Oryzias latipes: one gene and its partners. The protein of the gene in region 3 purifies or fractionates together with the protein of the main gene of each other region. This does not show direct contact. Links are inferred from orthologs where the notes say so. Each region holds a gene or a part of one and is shown on either strand. Other genes may lie near its edges.

Region 1 (5,154 bases), on a different chromosome or scaffold from region 3:
GTAGAACACGCACCATAAATCAATAAAGAAACCATGTGTCTTTGCAAAAGCAATTTTAAAAAACCATAATAAATAAAGAAACCATGTGTCTTTGCAAAAGCAATTTTTATAGGCCTCCGATGCCCAAATATGGTTAGACATGAGTTATGCTAATTTCATTCAGAATATTCCCAAAAACAACATTATTGGAATAAAAAAAGAAGAAGAAAAGAAAACCTGTAATGAAACGGGATCGGAGTACCCAAAATATGTTTTAAATTCAAAAAATGTCTGTAATTGTTGTCACAAATTAAAACAAATCCATAGTGAATTTATAATCCACACTGATAGCACAAAATGAAACATTAAAATATAAACCGTGGGGGAATTAAGAAAAGAGCAAGAATAACCTAAAATTTTGAATCTAAAATTCTATTTCTATTAGTCAATCTAAAACTACAGAGTCACCACACAGTAATCTAAAGAATCTCTGGGTGTGATGCTGCTGCAATAGAGACTAACCTGTGCAGAAAGAAAAACTAAGTAAAGCAAAGTTACAGCCTCTGCAAGTGATGGCAAGAAAACAAACACTCGTAATCTTTCAACAAGTCCTTTAAAGACTGTTTTTTTTTTATAAAAATGTTATTTTCTAAGGCAGTCTGCATTTTTGTGGTGAACTACTCACCAATCTTGACCTTCTTTCCCTCTGTGTATTGCTCATAGCGAGGCCTCTTGCGAGGCTCTCGTGGTACAGGAGTGTTTCGAGTTATCTCAGTCTGAGGCATTCCCAGATCCAGCAGCAAAGTGCTGATCTGACCCTGGAACTCCACACTGCACGGATGTTTGAGAACTGCCACCAAGTGCAGCTTTAAGTTTTTTCGAACACTGCTAACCTGAGATTTGGCCAGAGTGGGGGGAAGGTTAGCTAGAAAAAAAGATAAATATTAATGATTGCACCTTAATAATAATGTTAAGGGGATAATATATATTTTTTTGACTAAGAAGCACTCACCGTGGAGGGTCTCATATGCTTGCACCACCTCTGACATGAACATTGGTCTTTGACGGGCAATCGTTGCCAAAGAACCCAATGCAGTGGTGAGGTTAATGCTGGATATAGCTGGGTGGACCATGAATTTTAAGAGCTTTTCCAGTGCACTCTTTCCTTCTTCACACAAAGTACCTGTTGATTCAACAGAATGTAATAAATCTATCCTGCAGTAAGAAAGATTTTAACATGCCTGTTTAAAAAAAAAAAAAAGAAAAAAAAAAGAGAGTTCTAAAATCTTTACCGTAGTGAATGTACGAATGGTCTTTGGGAACTTTGTCAAGGCTAATGTCAGCATCCTGGCGTTTGGGTACATCAGAGTCAGGTGTCCGCGGCGAGAGAGTGATGATTAAAGATTCTGTGAATTTGATGCTGTGTGTGCGAACACCATCATTGTCGGAGTCCAGCAAGGCCAACACTTCCCCTTTCATTTGAGTGATCAAGTCCCAGCATGCCTCCTGCATTTCTGACAGTGTTTTTGAGCTGACCAACCACTGGCAGAAAAGAAACAACAGAAGATGTGGGAACATAAAAACACCGTATTCCTATTATTTTAGCAGGAAATTATGCGAGTGACTTTAAGGTGCATACCTGTAATGTTACTTTATAGAGCTGAGTGAGTGTCAGAATGGCTTTCTTCACCACATTTACACTTTCATCCTTCAGCAGCATGTTTAGATTGGCGATAAGTCTAACAAGGAGCTCATTGTCCCTTTTACTAGTTGGGAAATAGATATAAAAAAAAAAGAGTTTCAATAAATATACATACATTTAAAAGTGTATAAGATGTAAAATGTTGACACAAACAACTAACCATGCTTCCTCTATAAATCCAATGACAAACTTTTTCACTTCTATTGATTTGTCGGTCTGAAACGCTATTATTTCCTGTAAAATAGAATTGGCAAGATACAAGAACATGACTGGGCCGATTTTAACTTACACGCTTACCATTCCTTTGCCATGAAAGGCAGGTGCTTACTTACATCCAAAAAGTTGTCAAGAAGGGACGGATCCTTGTTGATGATGAGCTCTTGAACCTAAAGGAAATTCAAACGCGTGACTTCAAATTCTTACAACCACCTCATCAGCACCTCAGTCGGTGCTGCTGTGTAGCAGTCATCTAAACTGCACAGATTTACACTACCAACCTGTTTGAGAGCAGTCAGCTTTTCATCAGTGGGTATGAGAGAAGCTTGATTCAGAAGCTCCACCACCTGAGAAAAGAAAGAACCAGAGTAAGTCTCTACAACGCTACAATAAGAGGCTAACCAGCCAAAAAATATTAGCATAATTTCTACTATATAGCATGTTTGAGCCAAATGAGGTGTTCTTAGCTATTAACCCCAGACAACTGCAAATGTAGACTACAGCCCCATTTAGATTAAACTGCAGCAATTGTAAATATTTCTTATATATTGCAATTTATCAGAACAAAATCGATGGCAGATTAAAAAATAAAGAATGTTTAGATAGCAAGATCAAGATTTAACTTGCATCACACAAAAAGCATTTAATGATTTGTTGTGTTTCTAGATGTATATTTTAAGACTTAAAATGCTTTATATGAACAATTTCAGATTAAAATATTTCTGTTTTAAAGTCTGCTACCTCCAGATTGTGTTGTTGTCCCTGAGATTGTAAACAAATCTTTCATCTTGTGCTAATTGTACAGACCTTTTCACTGGTGGTCATATCGACCCCTTTCGGAGTGTCCTCCGCCTTAGAAGAAATGTCCATGTTGCTGATGTTCCAGTCAGTAATAATCTTGCATGATCCTGAAAGGAAAACAGAAATAATAATAATAATTTAGAGCATACATAACAATACGAGAATTACGCATAACATCTATATTTTAATTCAAATTACTGAACGTTTTAAGTCAGACTACAAACATTCGTATGTATTACAGAAACACATATTCAATTGATAATACTTAAATAAACAAATTTCAATACGCAAGTCAGTATTTTTTTCTAACTTACCTACACGATTACCAGAATGATGAGAATGAATCCAGTTAGTTAGCTCGTAACATTAGGTTAGCCAAAACGATAAAATAATAATCTACTTTACTAAGCCAACTGCGTTATAGATACACTAACTCTTGTATTAAACGGGTAATTACAAATATGATCTATTAGACAACAAGATTTGCCTTGTTTTAGTACTTATTAAATATATGAATTAACTTTGCTAGCAAGCAAACAAAGCTACCGCCATATTTCATCGAAGAAGCTATGGTACGGTTCTTCTTCGGCTGTTTTCGGATACTCAAATAAAAGCAGCGCCTCCTGCTGGATTTGTGTGCCTCTAAGCTATTTTTGTTTATTTATTTTTTAACTATTAATAAGAACACTAGTATTGTTTACATCACATGGGAAACAAAATATGTGCCATAGACACATTTCAAATGTTTTTAATCGATCACCATTTAACTACAAGTCCCATGAGGCTTAGCGGGATAAGTGATGTCACCTGATGCTAATAACAAGACAAGGAAGTGCTTATGTTTACAACCGCTGGAGTGGTAAAATATTCTCGTTTAAAACGTGTTGTTTTTTAGAAACAGTAATGTAAAAGATCAATCGGACATCAACTAATGAAGAAAAGTGAATGAATACGCCTCGCATTCGGGTGAACACGCCGCTGTTATTGCTTTTGTTACTTTGTTTGTAGGACATTTTACTAGCTCTTAGTTAGCTTGGAAAACAGGCAGCTAAAACGTACCACTGCGAAGCTTGTTTTGGATACAGCTAGTAAAAACTGTGCTTATTTTGTTTTTAATATACAGAACGTCGTATCGTAATAAATCAGTTAATTTTACATCTTTAAATTGCAGACGGTTTCGTGCTCATAGTTTTGATTCTCATTGGGACCACTTATGTTTTACATTCATTGCCACATGAACATGCAACAGAATTTTTGTTTAAAGAGGCGGAGGTCTAGTAGAAAACACGCACATCATCACTTGTAACACGCGTTTATGAGTATTGTTGTTAGTGATGCTTTACAAGCGTATTTCCTGCAACGTGTTAGTTAAGTTAACCACGGTCTTCATTGGAAAAACCTGTAGGAAAGGCCTTTGACTGGTTTCCCAGTCTTAAGGAACTTTTTTTCATTTTTACCTTGTCTTAAAAGTCTATATGAATCTGTCATGGTATATTCTTATAAATTGTACCTTTAGAGCAATGTACAGTGGCATTGTTGCCTTGTCCCTCCAGCAAAGCATACAGTAGAATAAAAAGAGGGAAAAAATATCATATTCGTTTTCCCCTCTATGTCATGTGTCTGTTATAGGGTCTCAATGGAGTGGGTTTTCATCATGAACCGGATGAGCTCTCAGGGAAGCTCTACAGCCCAGCGGAGGAGGATGGCCTTAGGGGTGGTGATACTCCTTCTGGTGGATGTCATCTGGGTGGCTTCCTCCGAGCTAACCTCAGTAAGGACAGTCTGTCAGCTGTCTGTGGGTTGTCATTTAGTGTGTAACAAAACTCTACTGAGACAAACACACAAGAACGTCCTCACAGTATCTTAACAAAGTCTTACAGGAATTAGAGTAGTTTAAGTTCGAATCAGTCAAAGTTTGGCAAATCCAAACTGACTAAGCCAGTTCCTCGAGTTGACTCAAATTCTATTTGTAAAAAATGTATTTCCAAAACATCTGTATGTGCATTTCTTCTGGCTTTTTACAGCATAGCTTCAGTAAACATTAAAGATTTGACATTGATGAAACAGACAAAAAAAAATATATATGGAAGAATTTGGGTAAGGTAGCACTGAAAAAAGGATTTATTTTCTACATTTAATCTGGTTTATTATGGATGCATCCACAGTAGCCCTGAATGGGGATTGAGTTAACTACAGAAACCTCAATTCAAATGTGGTTGTTTGCCACTTAGTGAAATGAAAACCCTAATACCCATTTTCCTTCTCTTTATTCCATCAGTACATTTTCAAGCGTCAGGATTACAACAAACCTTTTTTTAGCACATTTACCAAGACATCAATGTTTGTGCTGTATTTGCTGGGATTCCTCCTGTGGAGGCCCTGGAGGCAACAGTGCACTGGCACGCTGAAACGCAGGCACTCTGCATTTGTAAGTAATCGAAGAAAAACCCAAAAAA
Region 2 (5,386 bases), on a different chromosome or scaffold from region 3:
ACAGGTCTACAGAAAGAGATTTCTACCATCAAGGAAGGATGGATGGATGTTCATTCACCACAAAGCCTTAAATCAACATCTTAGCTACTGTAACCACACAGCACAGACTGAAAACGCAATAAACATGAAACCTTTTGTTCTTCAGGTTAGATCAAAATACGAAACCCTCATGCTTTTAAAAATATCTAATCAAAATAAACCTTTCAGCAGGAAGAACAGTTTCATAAATATGAAAGTCTGGATTAATCAGGGCTTTGAGCTAAAGTAGAGGTGTCAGACTCCAGGCCTCAAGCATCCAGTCGGTTTCTCGAGAAATCCGCCTGACCTGCTGCTGATTACATGTATGGCCGGAGTTTGAAGGGTGTGGGCTAAAGAACAGGAATACAATTCATAGCTGTGTCTCACAGTGATCTTGCTGGTCACAGATCCGACTGTCGAGACGTCCAGACCCATTCGCAGCCTCTTCTGTTTCTCGCAGTATGCCTTCCAGGTGTCCTCGTTGAAGCCGTAGTTGAAGTAGTCGGACAGATCCGCTCCTGCACACAGAAAGACGCTTTCAGTGACTGAAGATGATATTTCTACCTTTTTAAGACCGTTAAGTATAGAGAAAGTCTAAAAAAATAAAAATGAATACCCAAAGATGCTTTAGTCCTTATGTTGTTTTTTTTACAATATTTAAAGACTATCAATGGCTTTTCATCTAAAAAAAAGGCAGAGCTGATGTTTTATAGTGACGAAATTGTTTTTATTGCATCACATTTATCCATCTTTTTTTAATTTGTAAAGACAGTAATAACCCTAAAAAGTATAGCTAAAACCATTTTACTTGACTTTTACAAACCTGGCTTCCTCCAGGGCTTCTCTTCAAAGGACTCCACGTCCACCTCCAGCACCGGGACGCCATTGATGTTTCCTGGTGCATCAAGATCCACCCCTTTCAGCTTTGAAGACACTGAGAATAACCAAAATAAATGCTGCTGAATGCTTACAAAGTAAGAAAGAAGAGGAATATTGTTCAAACACAACTGAAAATAATTGTTGCAACAGCTTGGAGACGCACCCTGTCCATAAGGTCTGGAGCCTGACTTTATGTTGAGGTTAACAGGTGGAGTGCCGTAAGTCCTGCAACAAAAATAGAATACTTATTAATTATCTAATAAAATACAAAAAATAATGCAGGCCAGGTTTTTTTTGGCATGAATACATTTACCACGATTATTCAGTTACTGTAAAATAAATAATCACAAATCCATCGCTAAAATTCAACAGATTATTGCTGGGTTTGCAACCAAAGATCATTTGACTTTTACAACCTGTATAAAAAAAAAACACTCAGGTCCATTAAAACTAATTCAAAAAAGAAAACCACATCAAATTTTATGGAATAAAATTGAATACAGAAATTGTTTCAAAAATTCAAGCCTTCACATTTTTATGCAACATTAACAGCTAAAGTTAGGGTCACTAAATACTTCCAACACGTCAACTCAGAAGACATCTCTATGTCCCCAAACAACAACATAGCCTGACAGGAAACAAGAAACCCAGCAGATGCAGGAAGGAAACCGGAGATTTTTTTATTTTTTTTTACATCTCTGTTCTGCCTGTGTTTTGCTGAAAGTCCAAAATCAAAAGTAACACCTTCTGACACCGGTGTCTTTTCCACAATAAAGCCATCTGAAGCCAAAAAAAAGGTTAGAACTTAAAAGGATAAGAAAAAACGAAAAACAACAAAACATTTCTTCTTGCCATTAATTAAAAACAAGAAAACAGCTTCATACAAAAACATTTACTACGAGAAACTGTAAATATTTCCACTGGACTCAAACCTACGTGTATTGTGGTGCTCCGGTCTTAATGTCACCGATGGTAACGCGGACGTCATCGTCGTCATCATCGCTGTCGCTGTCACTTTCTACATCCTCACCAGCAGTTTCACCAGTGGCCTGAAATGTCGGGAAAAAGAGAAAAAAAAGCCTCCAATTTAGTAAAGATGCAGGAAAAAAAGACAGGTGGAGAGAAACAAATAAAAACAGGCTACCTCAGACGCAACTCCGTTTCCTGTTGCATGTTCAGGAGCAGCATCTTCTGCTTGAGCATCAGCTGGTGCACTGCAGGTTTATTAATAAACTGTTAGACATGCTGTAAAGCTTTCTATAACAACAACAAAAGGTCTTGGTTTTATTTGTCCTAATTTCCACAATGATGGTTTATTTTAAGAGATTTACTAATGATATAATTTTATGTCAGATGTTTAACTGGAAAATGAAATAACCGATCAAAGTTTTAGAGCTAAAAAGTCTTGAGTTTTGATGTAATGTATTTAGAATTTAATCAAACTTAAGGGTTCACCTACCTGACATAAGTTAAAGAAATTCAATTCATACACCCACATTTTACAAGCATTTATCACATAAAAAAAGACCACGCAAAGCTTCTGCTAAACGGCTACATCATGTACATGTAAACATGTAAAACAGTCATTGTTTTGGGAAAATTCCCCTAAATTATCAAAATGGTTCTCTTTTTCTTTTTGTAAATGATATTCAATGGTGTTTGTGTTTTACCCGACATCCGTGTTTAACTTTGCTCCTTCTTCATCCTCCTCTTTGGTCTCGGACTCATCTGAAAAGAAACATTAATTATCACCGGGCGGATAACAACACATGTAAACTAATATGACTTGATATCATTGACTGTGTACGCAAAAGCCCTAGAAAAAACACGCATGGCAGAGTGATAAAGAATGTAAAGCTCATAATAATTATAATAAAAAAATATATATTTATAACTTGCTTTTAAGTCATCTTTCTGCTTAAGGCCAAAGCGCAGATTGCTAACTAGCTACCCAGCTAGCACAGACAGACAGCGCACTTTTTAAACTGCTTTACCTTCCAGTCTAATTTGAAGTTAAACCAACTACAATTACTTTGTTGTTTTTTATGTCGGTCATTTTAGGCGACACTTGCATTTCCTTGTAGTTAATTGATTTACCTCCATACAACCATTCCTCCTCCTCGTCCCCGGCGCTAGCATCGGTGGTGGTCGTTTTGTCCGCCTCCTCCGCAGACATGTTCGCCCAGCTCAGAAAAGCTGAAAGTATAAGCGAGACCCTACGAAAAACCACCAACAAAAGAGTACCACTGAGAATTATTACAAAGTCCTACTTTTCGGAGGACGCTATTTTTTTATTAATATACGCATGAATTGGGTTCTTTCAGATCCATTTAGACGTCTACGAGTCGTGAACCCGGAAGAGACTCCGGAGAATGTCCTGCAGAAGCTCAGCAACGGTGTACAACTGAAGCAGAGCGCCCCCTACTGGAGTGGATGATTTAGCGCCATGTGTCCCAATGGAGAGAAAACCTTTAATGTTGTCGGTTGCCCTAGTTTTTACCCCACACACTTTTCAGAGCTTGAAACTGAAAAAACTCTAGCAATTTTACTTTCAAAATAGTAAATAGTATGCAATTATATAGCACTTGATGAGGGGAAAAGCACTTTCTTGCACTGATGGCAGCTATTTGGGTCATTAATAAGGCCAACAGGACAGAATTGGGATTCAACTTTTTGTTTTTGTACTGACTAAACTTACTTTATTTAAAATCAAAAACTAAGTTATATCTACTACATGCCCATGACTGACATGACCCCACCTTCGCCGCATAGTTAGCAGGATAGGCTCCAGCAACCCTGCAACCCTGAAATGGATTGAGCTGAGTTGGAAGATTGATCATACAAACTACATGTAATAATATTACTATAACTTTGTATCATGGATGGGTGACAAACAAAATAAAAAAATAGTTTAAAAGTGTTGTCTTATGAGAGCAACTTTTACTCATGACATCAATGAGTTCTACCTTGCAAAGTTTGGGGAAACTAAGTGATTCTAGATTCGGGGACAAAAAAACAACTCTTGCATTAAATGCTATTATGAACACAGATGCAAAGTTTTGTTCTTGAACCAAGTTTCTGATTAAATACATGTTTGTTTTAAAAAGTTCTTATTTTATTTATAATTTATAAATAGCCATAATATATTTATTATTTTTCCCCACTTCCTTGCAACTTCAACCACTTTATGGCATCAAGAAGCATTCAAGATTCCCACTGTGTTTGCTAATGTAAAAAGGACTGTTAATGCATTTATGGCCAGTTGAGTAGGGCTTCTTTAGGTTTTCAGCAAATTAATGTAAATGTTTGGATTCTTTCACTCTCCTCTCCCCTTTTTCTGCTATCACTTACTCAATGCAGCGCTCACATCAACAGTCATGCACAACATGGACATATGCACTGATTGGCCTGCAATAAAAAATCACTAGGAGACAATTTGTGGTCCTCACTTTTTCAGTGTGAGGGTAGGGGGGGAGAAAGGTGGTAACATCATAGTTGTAGCTGTATTGATTTTCCTCACTCTATCTGAGCCAGGGCTTGATATCACCAGCATCTGCTGTATCACATCATATGTGAGAATTACGTGTGGCTCTCTAAACACAGTTAAGGGCACACACATGCACCTACACTCCAGAGAGCGTTAGACAGGGATCCTAATGCTCTGTCCGTTAAACTGATAATAGAAATTGCATTTATTTTACTCACTCTCTCCCTCTTCTCCAGTTTCTCTCATTGGTTTCTATTTTTGCTGTTGATTTTCATTACCTTTCATCTTTATTTCTTATATTTATGTTTTCAAATTCCATCTTTTATCCATTTTGCTCATTTGATGTACAGCATCATCACAACCATTGTCTTGTTGCAGTGTGAAAGCAGTTGGTTTGGTTCCTGGCTGTCTTGTGACTTTCTTTCTGTTAGTCACTGTGACACTGTTGTGTTTTCTGTGTGTTAATTATGTGCAGGAGCATTTGCGTAGGTTTCAGCGAGCCCCGGAGTTGTTTGGCAGGAGCATCCTGGTTGACGGGAGTGTAGGAGGGAGTCCATTGATGTGACCTCCTCACGATGTGTAGCAGCTTCATCACAGCCTTGCACACATGAAAACAGCAAACATGTAAAGGCCCTGCAGAAGATCCACAAAAAATGTCCAGGGACAACAGTAAGACTTAAAGACACACTCAGGGTTTGGATGTTTTGAACACCTTATGGCCTTTTTCTGATGGATGAGAACATATATTAAGATAATTAAGCTAAAAAAAATAGCGTTTCTGAGAATTTCTTTATTCAAATTCTTGTAAATCAGGAGCACACAAAAAAAGTAATTTGAAAAGGATTGTATTTGTGAATTACAAAATATGCTGGGAAGGCCACAAGCTCCTTTCTCCGAACTCTCAGCAACGGGAAGGGGAAGGGGGGTGGGGTTGCTCTGTGCCGATAGTCCTGCCAAAACTTAGAGGTTAAAATATGTCCTAGAAAAAACTGATGTTTTTTT
Region 3 (4,650 bases):
CACAGAATGTTCTGGTGTTGGAGGTTCCGTCAGGCTGCAGAGGAACTGAAGCAGCTCCATGATGCCACAGACGGATGCGAGTGAGGAGCCACGCAGCTGGAGCTTCGGTGTTCCGCCTAAGCAATGAGGCCCTGTGAAGGAGCCGTTGCACCCATCCGACAGCTGGACGCTGGAGACCCAGAGAGAATGTTTGGAGGCGTCCCGTTGAAGCACATACCTGTTTGTTGAAGTAGAGGAAGCCTTTGGGGCAGTTGATGTTGTGAAAGGGGGAGAAGGACTCGATGGGTCCGTCGATGGTCATGGGGTGAAGCCTCAGCCCTCCTCGAGAGGTGATCAACATCCAGTGGGGGGATGGGCCACAGATGAACACCTGAGGAAACAACATGTATCAGGAGCTAACCCTTCTGGGTAAATTCCAAATGGACTTTAGTTTGTACCCCAGAGTATCCAGAAATGTCCTCAAAGTACCGGAACCTGGAAATTCGGCTCTTCACAGCCACATTTTCCTCAGGACCTCCGCCCTCCGCCTTCTTGTCTTTCTTCAGCTTGGGTTTCTTCTCTCTGAAGTTAATGCTGTGGGGCACCTGAGCCGGAGGAGAAACGCCATCAGACGCTTCGCTGGAAGCAGCCGCTACTCCGCTCCAGACTCACCTTTTTGAAGCGGACTTTCAGGTTGTTCTGCGGCTGCTGCTGGTCGTACGGGAACGCTTCGTAGACCAGAAGTTCGTTCTCCACGTGGACCTGAGACAGCAAGGGCCTTCGGTCTTCCACAGATCCAACACAGAGATGGAGATCAGCCCAGGGGAAAAACTCACCAGCAGATACGGGCGGCTGCGATTGTTGCCGAGAGCAACCAAAGCCACCTCTTTGACCAACGGGATCTCTCCCTGTCGAGTGACTTCCTCCTTCTTCCCGTCTCCCTGTGTCGCTGACTGTCCAGAAGAGCTGTCCACCAGCACCCTTTGGCCCACCGGGAAGTTCTTCACCAGGAAGACCAGCCGCCAGTCAGGCAGCTGGTAAATCTGCCCCACAAAGAGTCAATGAAATGAAGCACAACAGACTTAAACAAGTTTCCCAGTAGCTTAATCTAAGAGCGCTGACAAATGCTGCAGAAGGATGACAAAACACTTTCACTTCCTGTTTGAAACACCTGTGAAATAAAAACTAATGAGTTACAGTTACAGTCTGTTATAGTCACTGAAAAAGACAACTATTATGAGCCTCATGCTTTTCCGTAACAACTCGAAGTTGCACACAGATGTAGGTGTGGCCTTTTGATTGACAGGTAAGAAAGGACAGAGTTTAAGGGCTCACTTCGACCTCACATTTCCTGCCATCAGAGCACCTGAACGGAGGGTCCAGGCAGACATACCTCCATTACGCCGTTCTCCCGGATCAGCACACACCAGTGGCTAGGCTCGGCTTTGCCCGCGCTACCCTCACCCCCAGGGGGCGCTGTTGCTGCAGAGCCGCGGCTCATTTCCTCTTTCCCGGCTGCCATGCTGGCGCCGGACTCGCCGTACAGCATCTCCTCTTCATCATCCACTGTGTTGCTGCACAAAAACAGGAGAGGTCATCAGACTGCTGCCCATAAGTAGGAGGAGCAGTGGGAGGTTCTGGAGAGCATGTGCCTCCTACCTGAGGTCCTGGTAGACTGTCTCTGTCTCAGAGTTGCTCCTGAGGATGAGGTCCTCTTTGGAGGAGCAGCTGGATTTGTTTTCTGTGGTGAACATCCCACTGACGTCTCGATACGCACACAGAGCGATCACTCGAGATAGCTGTGGGGCGAGAGGGTTTCAAACGCTTGCAAGAAGTGCAACAGCTTTTATTGGCCAGCAGGGGGGGCAACCACAGAACCTAAAGGACATTCCACTCACCGTGGAAATTTGAGGTTTCTGCAGAGCCAGTCGGTGTGTTTTCCCCATGTAAGTGTCACTCTTCAGCACAAACATAGTGACCACGCCCTCTGCGGTCATAATAACGACGTACGGGTCCGCCACAGAGCAATGAACTATGGGAGATCCCAGATCCACTGGGATGAAGTGAAGCTGCTTCACTGAAAGGTGAAATGAGAGTTAGAGGGGCTTCCATCAAACACTCTTCAGGCTCATATTCTGGGATGTATTTGTCTTCAACACTAAATGGATGCAGCCTCATTTCACCTCCTTCAAGAAGCCGAAGTCCCATGGGGGAGACCTGGATGATGTATTGGTTATCTCCAATGTTTCCAGCAAACACAGTGGGTCCCTGAGTGGCAAAGCCACTGGTGTCCAGCTCCATGATCTCCTGACCCGTCTGCAGGATCTTAAAGAGAAAGAGGTTTTCCTTTCATTAAACCTTTTTTCTCCTTTCCTGGTTCCAGAATCTGAATGTTGACTGAATGTTTCTTCTGTTACCATGGTTGAATCTTCTCTGCTCAGGATGAGGAAGCCGTGCTTCTTTGCATCGTCTTCCAGAGGAGGCTCTGTCTTATCCTGCTCTTCTTTCTTCTCTGCGTCCGCTTCCTTTTCTCCTCCTTCACTCTCCTCTTCTGTCTCCACCTTCCCTCCATCCTCCGACTCCTCATTTTTGCCGCTCTGGAAATCATAAAGTTACAGACTAAGAAACCAAAGCGACAGCCGCGCAGCAGGAAGCGTATTTCTGTTGAGCGTACCTTCTTGTCTTCCCCTGAGATTACCGTCCACATGTCGTGGCAACCTGGCAGCTCAAACGTAGTGACTACTTGAGGTCGGATGCTTCTCTGAGAAGAAAAAAGCAAAAGGATAACAAGAAATCTCCTGAAAGAGACAGGGGGCGTGAACATGTGCCTGGGGTGTTTACTGGCTGCTCCGTGGATCTCTGAGGCAGCCGTGGTAAACCCAGACCGTGCTGTAGCACCGTCTCAGGACCTGTGGCAGACGGCCCTCGCCACCACAGGTTTCAGGACTGTGCGGGACACCGATCAGGTGTGTAAACAAACTCAGAGCAGACAGAGATACCTGCAAGACGGACAGAGCACCGTTTTTGCCGTAGCCAGAGCAAACAACGATCTCCAAGTCGGGTTCAGGGTTGCTCTGAAACTGTGGGAAAAGTGACATTTAGGTGGATGAATGTAGAAACAGAGAGTCGTCTGCATGGGTTCCAAAAGTGTCTACCTCTTCAGAGAGAAAAGCAGGTTCACCCATGGAAGCATTCGCACAAGGTCCAATGTTGAGTATGCTGTCGCAAACCTGTAGGGAAACACAAAAAAAAAAACACACACTTCACACAAGAAATCCTCTACTGAACGAAGGAGGCTGAGCTTCATCCATTGGCTTGATATTTCAGTCAGCTCACTGTCCAGGTGCTGCTTTATGAGTTTACACATCGATATCAGAAAATACTATTTGGATTTTGATAAGTTTATTATTCTACATTTTCTTTTCCCTAGGGGGGGCCTGGCAAAAAACTTTACCGTTGACTATCTAGAAGAAATCCAAGGAATCTGGAAAACTTCCCCTGCACTGTCCAGGTATTTCTCTCTGAGTCTCACTGGTTGAAGTTTTGGATTAAGATGACCTGGATGCTAAATGGCGTGTACTTATAAAGCACTTTTCTACCTACAAGGCCCAAAGCTGTTTACAGTCACACACACAGTCACACACTGGTGGCGGCTCCGCTGCCGAACACTGGCGCCAACCTACCACCAGAGACCGAGACACCGCCTCTCTGCTGGTTCATCACCGCAGTGATCAAAAATCCCACACCGTCACAGCTTTAGCAACATCACTAGTTTTTAAGGAAACTTTGGATCATGGGTGTCAGAAATTTGATACAAATGGTTGGAACTCAAAAAGTATTTTTGGTGACAAATATAGTTTACTGCATTGAAGAACCTGTGTGTTAGTGAACACACAGGTCAGCTTAAAGGAACTGCAGGCACAGGAGCTTCTTCAAAATGTAGGCAGAGCAGAACTCTGCAGATCCTCTGCACAGAGGAGATAGAAGCCAACTTTTTTACCTCAAAGGAGAAGGTGGCCAGCTGAGTGCCTGACTGGGCTTCACTTCCATAAACCTCGATCTCATCCACCTCATCTGACAAGACAAAGAAGTATGAAGCAGAGCAGCCTGCAGAGCCAGACACGGAGAAACTTTACCAGGCGACAGCGAACGCACCAGTCCAGTTGCTGGAAGACTCCACTCGCTTTTTCTTGTTGGGGGGTTCCTCCTGAAAGGTAGACATGGTCTTAAGGAATTTATCATTTCTATTTCTGCCACACAATTAAAAGAAAAGTATTTGTGTCACAGACGTGCCTGCTTCTCTTTTTCCTGCTTGTCATTTCCGTCCTCTGCGGGCGCCTCCTGCAGCTTCTCCGTGTATTTCAGGAGCAGCGAGTTTCCCAGACGGGAACCCAGGAACAGGTAGCCGGGCTCCATCGTCACCATCTGACCAAGACAGACAAAGTGAAATGGAAGACTGCTCCTGCTGCACAGGTGCAGCCCGAAGAGCAGCAAAAAGGAGCAGCTCTGGTCTCCTGAGCGTTGGCAGAACTCACGCAGGTCGTCAGGACGCTGGCTGCAGCTTTGTCAAAGTGAAACGCACGGACGCTCCTCATGCCGTCCGTTATGAGGGTCAACACGTAACTGCAAAAACAGCAGTGGTCAATGAGGACGCACAAATTGTAACAAAAG

Evidence for each region. Proteins that work in one complex are often made in the same cells at the same time.
Region 1: the proteins of cpsf1 (region 3) and sympk fractionate together in Homo sapiens (co-fractionation; 5 studies listed by BioGRID and IntAct, with this or other methods). This does not show direct contact. The link is inferred for Oryzias latipes from reciprocal best matches to the Homo sapiens genes CPSF1 and SYMPK.
Region 2: the proteins of cpsf1 (region 3) and pre-mRNA 3'-end-processing factor FIP1 fractionate together in Homo sapiens (co-fractionation; 8 studies listed by BioGRID and IntAct, with this or other methods). This does not show direct contact. The link is inferred for Oryzias latipes from reciprocal best matches to the Homo sapiens genes CPSF1 and FIP1L1.

What each region holds. Positions count from the first base shown.
Region 1 is NC_019879.2:16,690,939-16,696,092, forward strand, and holds the start of sympk (symplekin), read right to left. Parts: upstream 3,277-5,154; 5' UTR 3,013-3,276; intron 2,806-3,012; 5' UTR 2,768-2,805; coding exon 2,705-2,767; intron 2,245-2,704; coding exon 2,179-2,244; intron 2,068-2,178; coding exon 2,014-2,067; intron 1,916-2,013; coding exon 1,842-1,915; intron 1,746-1,841; coding exon 1,619-1,745; intron 1,522-1,618; coding exon 1,272-1,521; intron 1,163-1,271; coding exon 992-1,162; intron 905-991; coding exon 665-904; intron 1-664. Other genes in the region: slc35f5 (solute carrier family 35 member F5), read left to right, coding at 3,499-3,557, 4,328-4,469, 4,977-5,126. UniProt on the Homo sapiens protein: Scaffold protein that functions as a component of a multimolecular complex involved in histone mRNA 3'-end processing. Specific component of the tight junction (TJ) plaque, but might not be an exclusively junctional component. May have a house-keeping rule.
Region 2 is NC_019859.2:11,139,521-11,144,906, forward strand, and holds the start of pre-mRNA 3'-end-processing factor FIP1, read right to left. Parts: upstream 3,277-5,386; 5' UTR 3,074-3,276; coding exon 2,995-3,073; intron 2,626-2,994; coding exon 2,568-2,625; intron 2,112-2,567; coding exon 2,042-2,111; intron 1,947-2,041; coding exon 1,834-1,946; intron 1,123-1,833; coding exon 1,061-1,122; intron 953-1,060; coding exon 842-952; intron 537-841; coding exon 406-536; intron 1-405.
Region 3 is NC_019869.2:25,053,010-25,057,659, reverse strand, and holds part of cpsf1 (cleavage and polyadenylation specificity factor subunit 1), read right to left. Parts: intron 4,603-4,650; coding exon 4,515-4,602; intron 4,405-4,514; coding exon 4,273-4,404; intron 4,187-4,272; coding exon 4,135-4,186; intron 4,054-4,134; coding exon 3,980-4,053; intron 3,210-3,979; coding exon 3,135-3,209; intron 3,060-3,134; coding exon 2,979-3,059; intron 2,741-2,978; coding exon 2,654-2,740; intron 2,577-2,653; coding exon 2,397-2,576; intron 2,305-2,396; coding exon 2,163-2,304; intron 2,057-2,162; coding exon 1,878-2,056; intron 1,779-1,877; coding exon 1,639-1,778; intron 1,554-1,638; coding exon 1,373-1,553; intron 1,023-1,372; coding exon 816-1,022; intron 742-815; coding exon 652-741; intron 585-651; coding exon 438-584; intron 371-437; coding exon 218-370; intron 1-217. UniProt on the Homo sapiens protein: Component of the cleavage and polyadenylation specificity factor (CPSF) complex that plays a key role in pre-mRNA 3'-end formation, recognizing the AAUAAA signal sequence and interacting with poly(A) polymerase and other factors to bring about cleavage and poly(A) addition.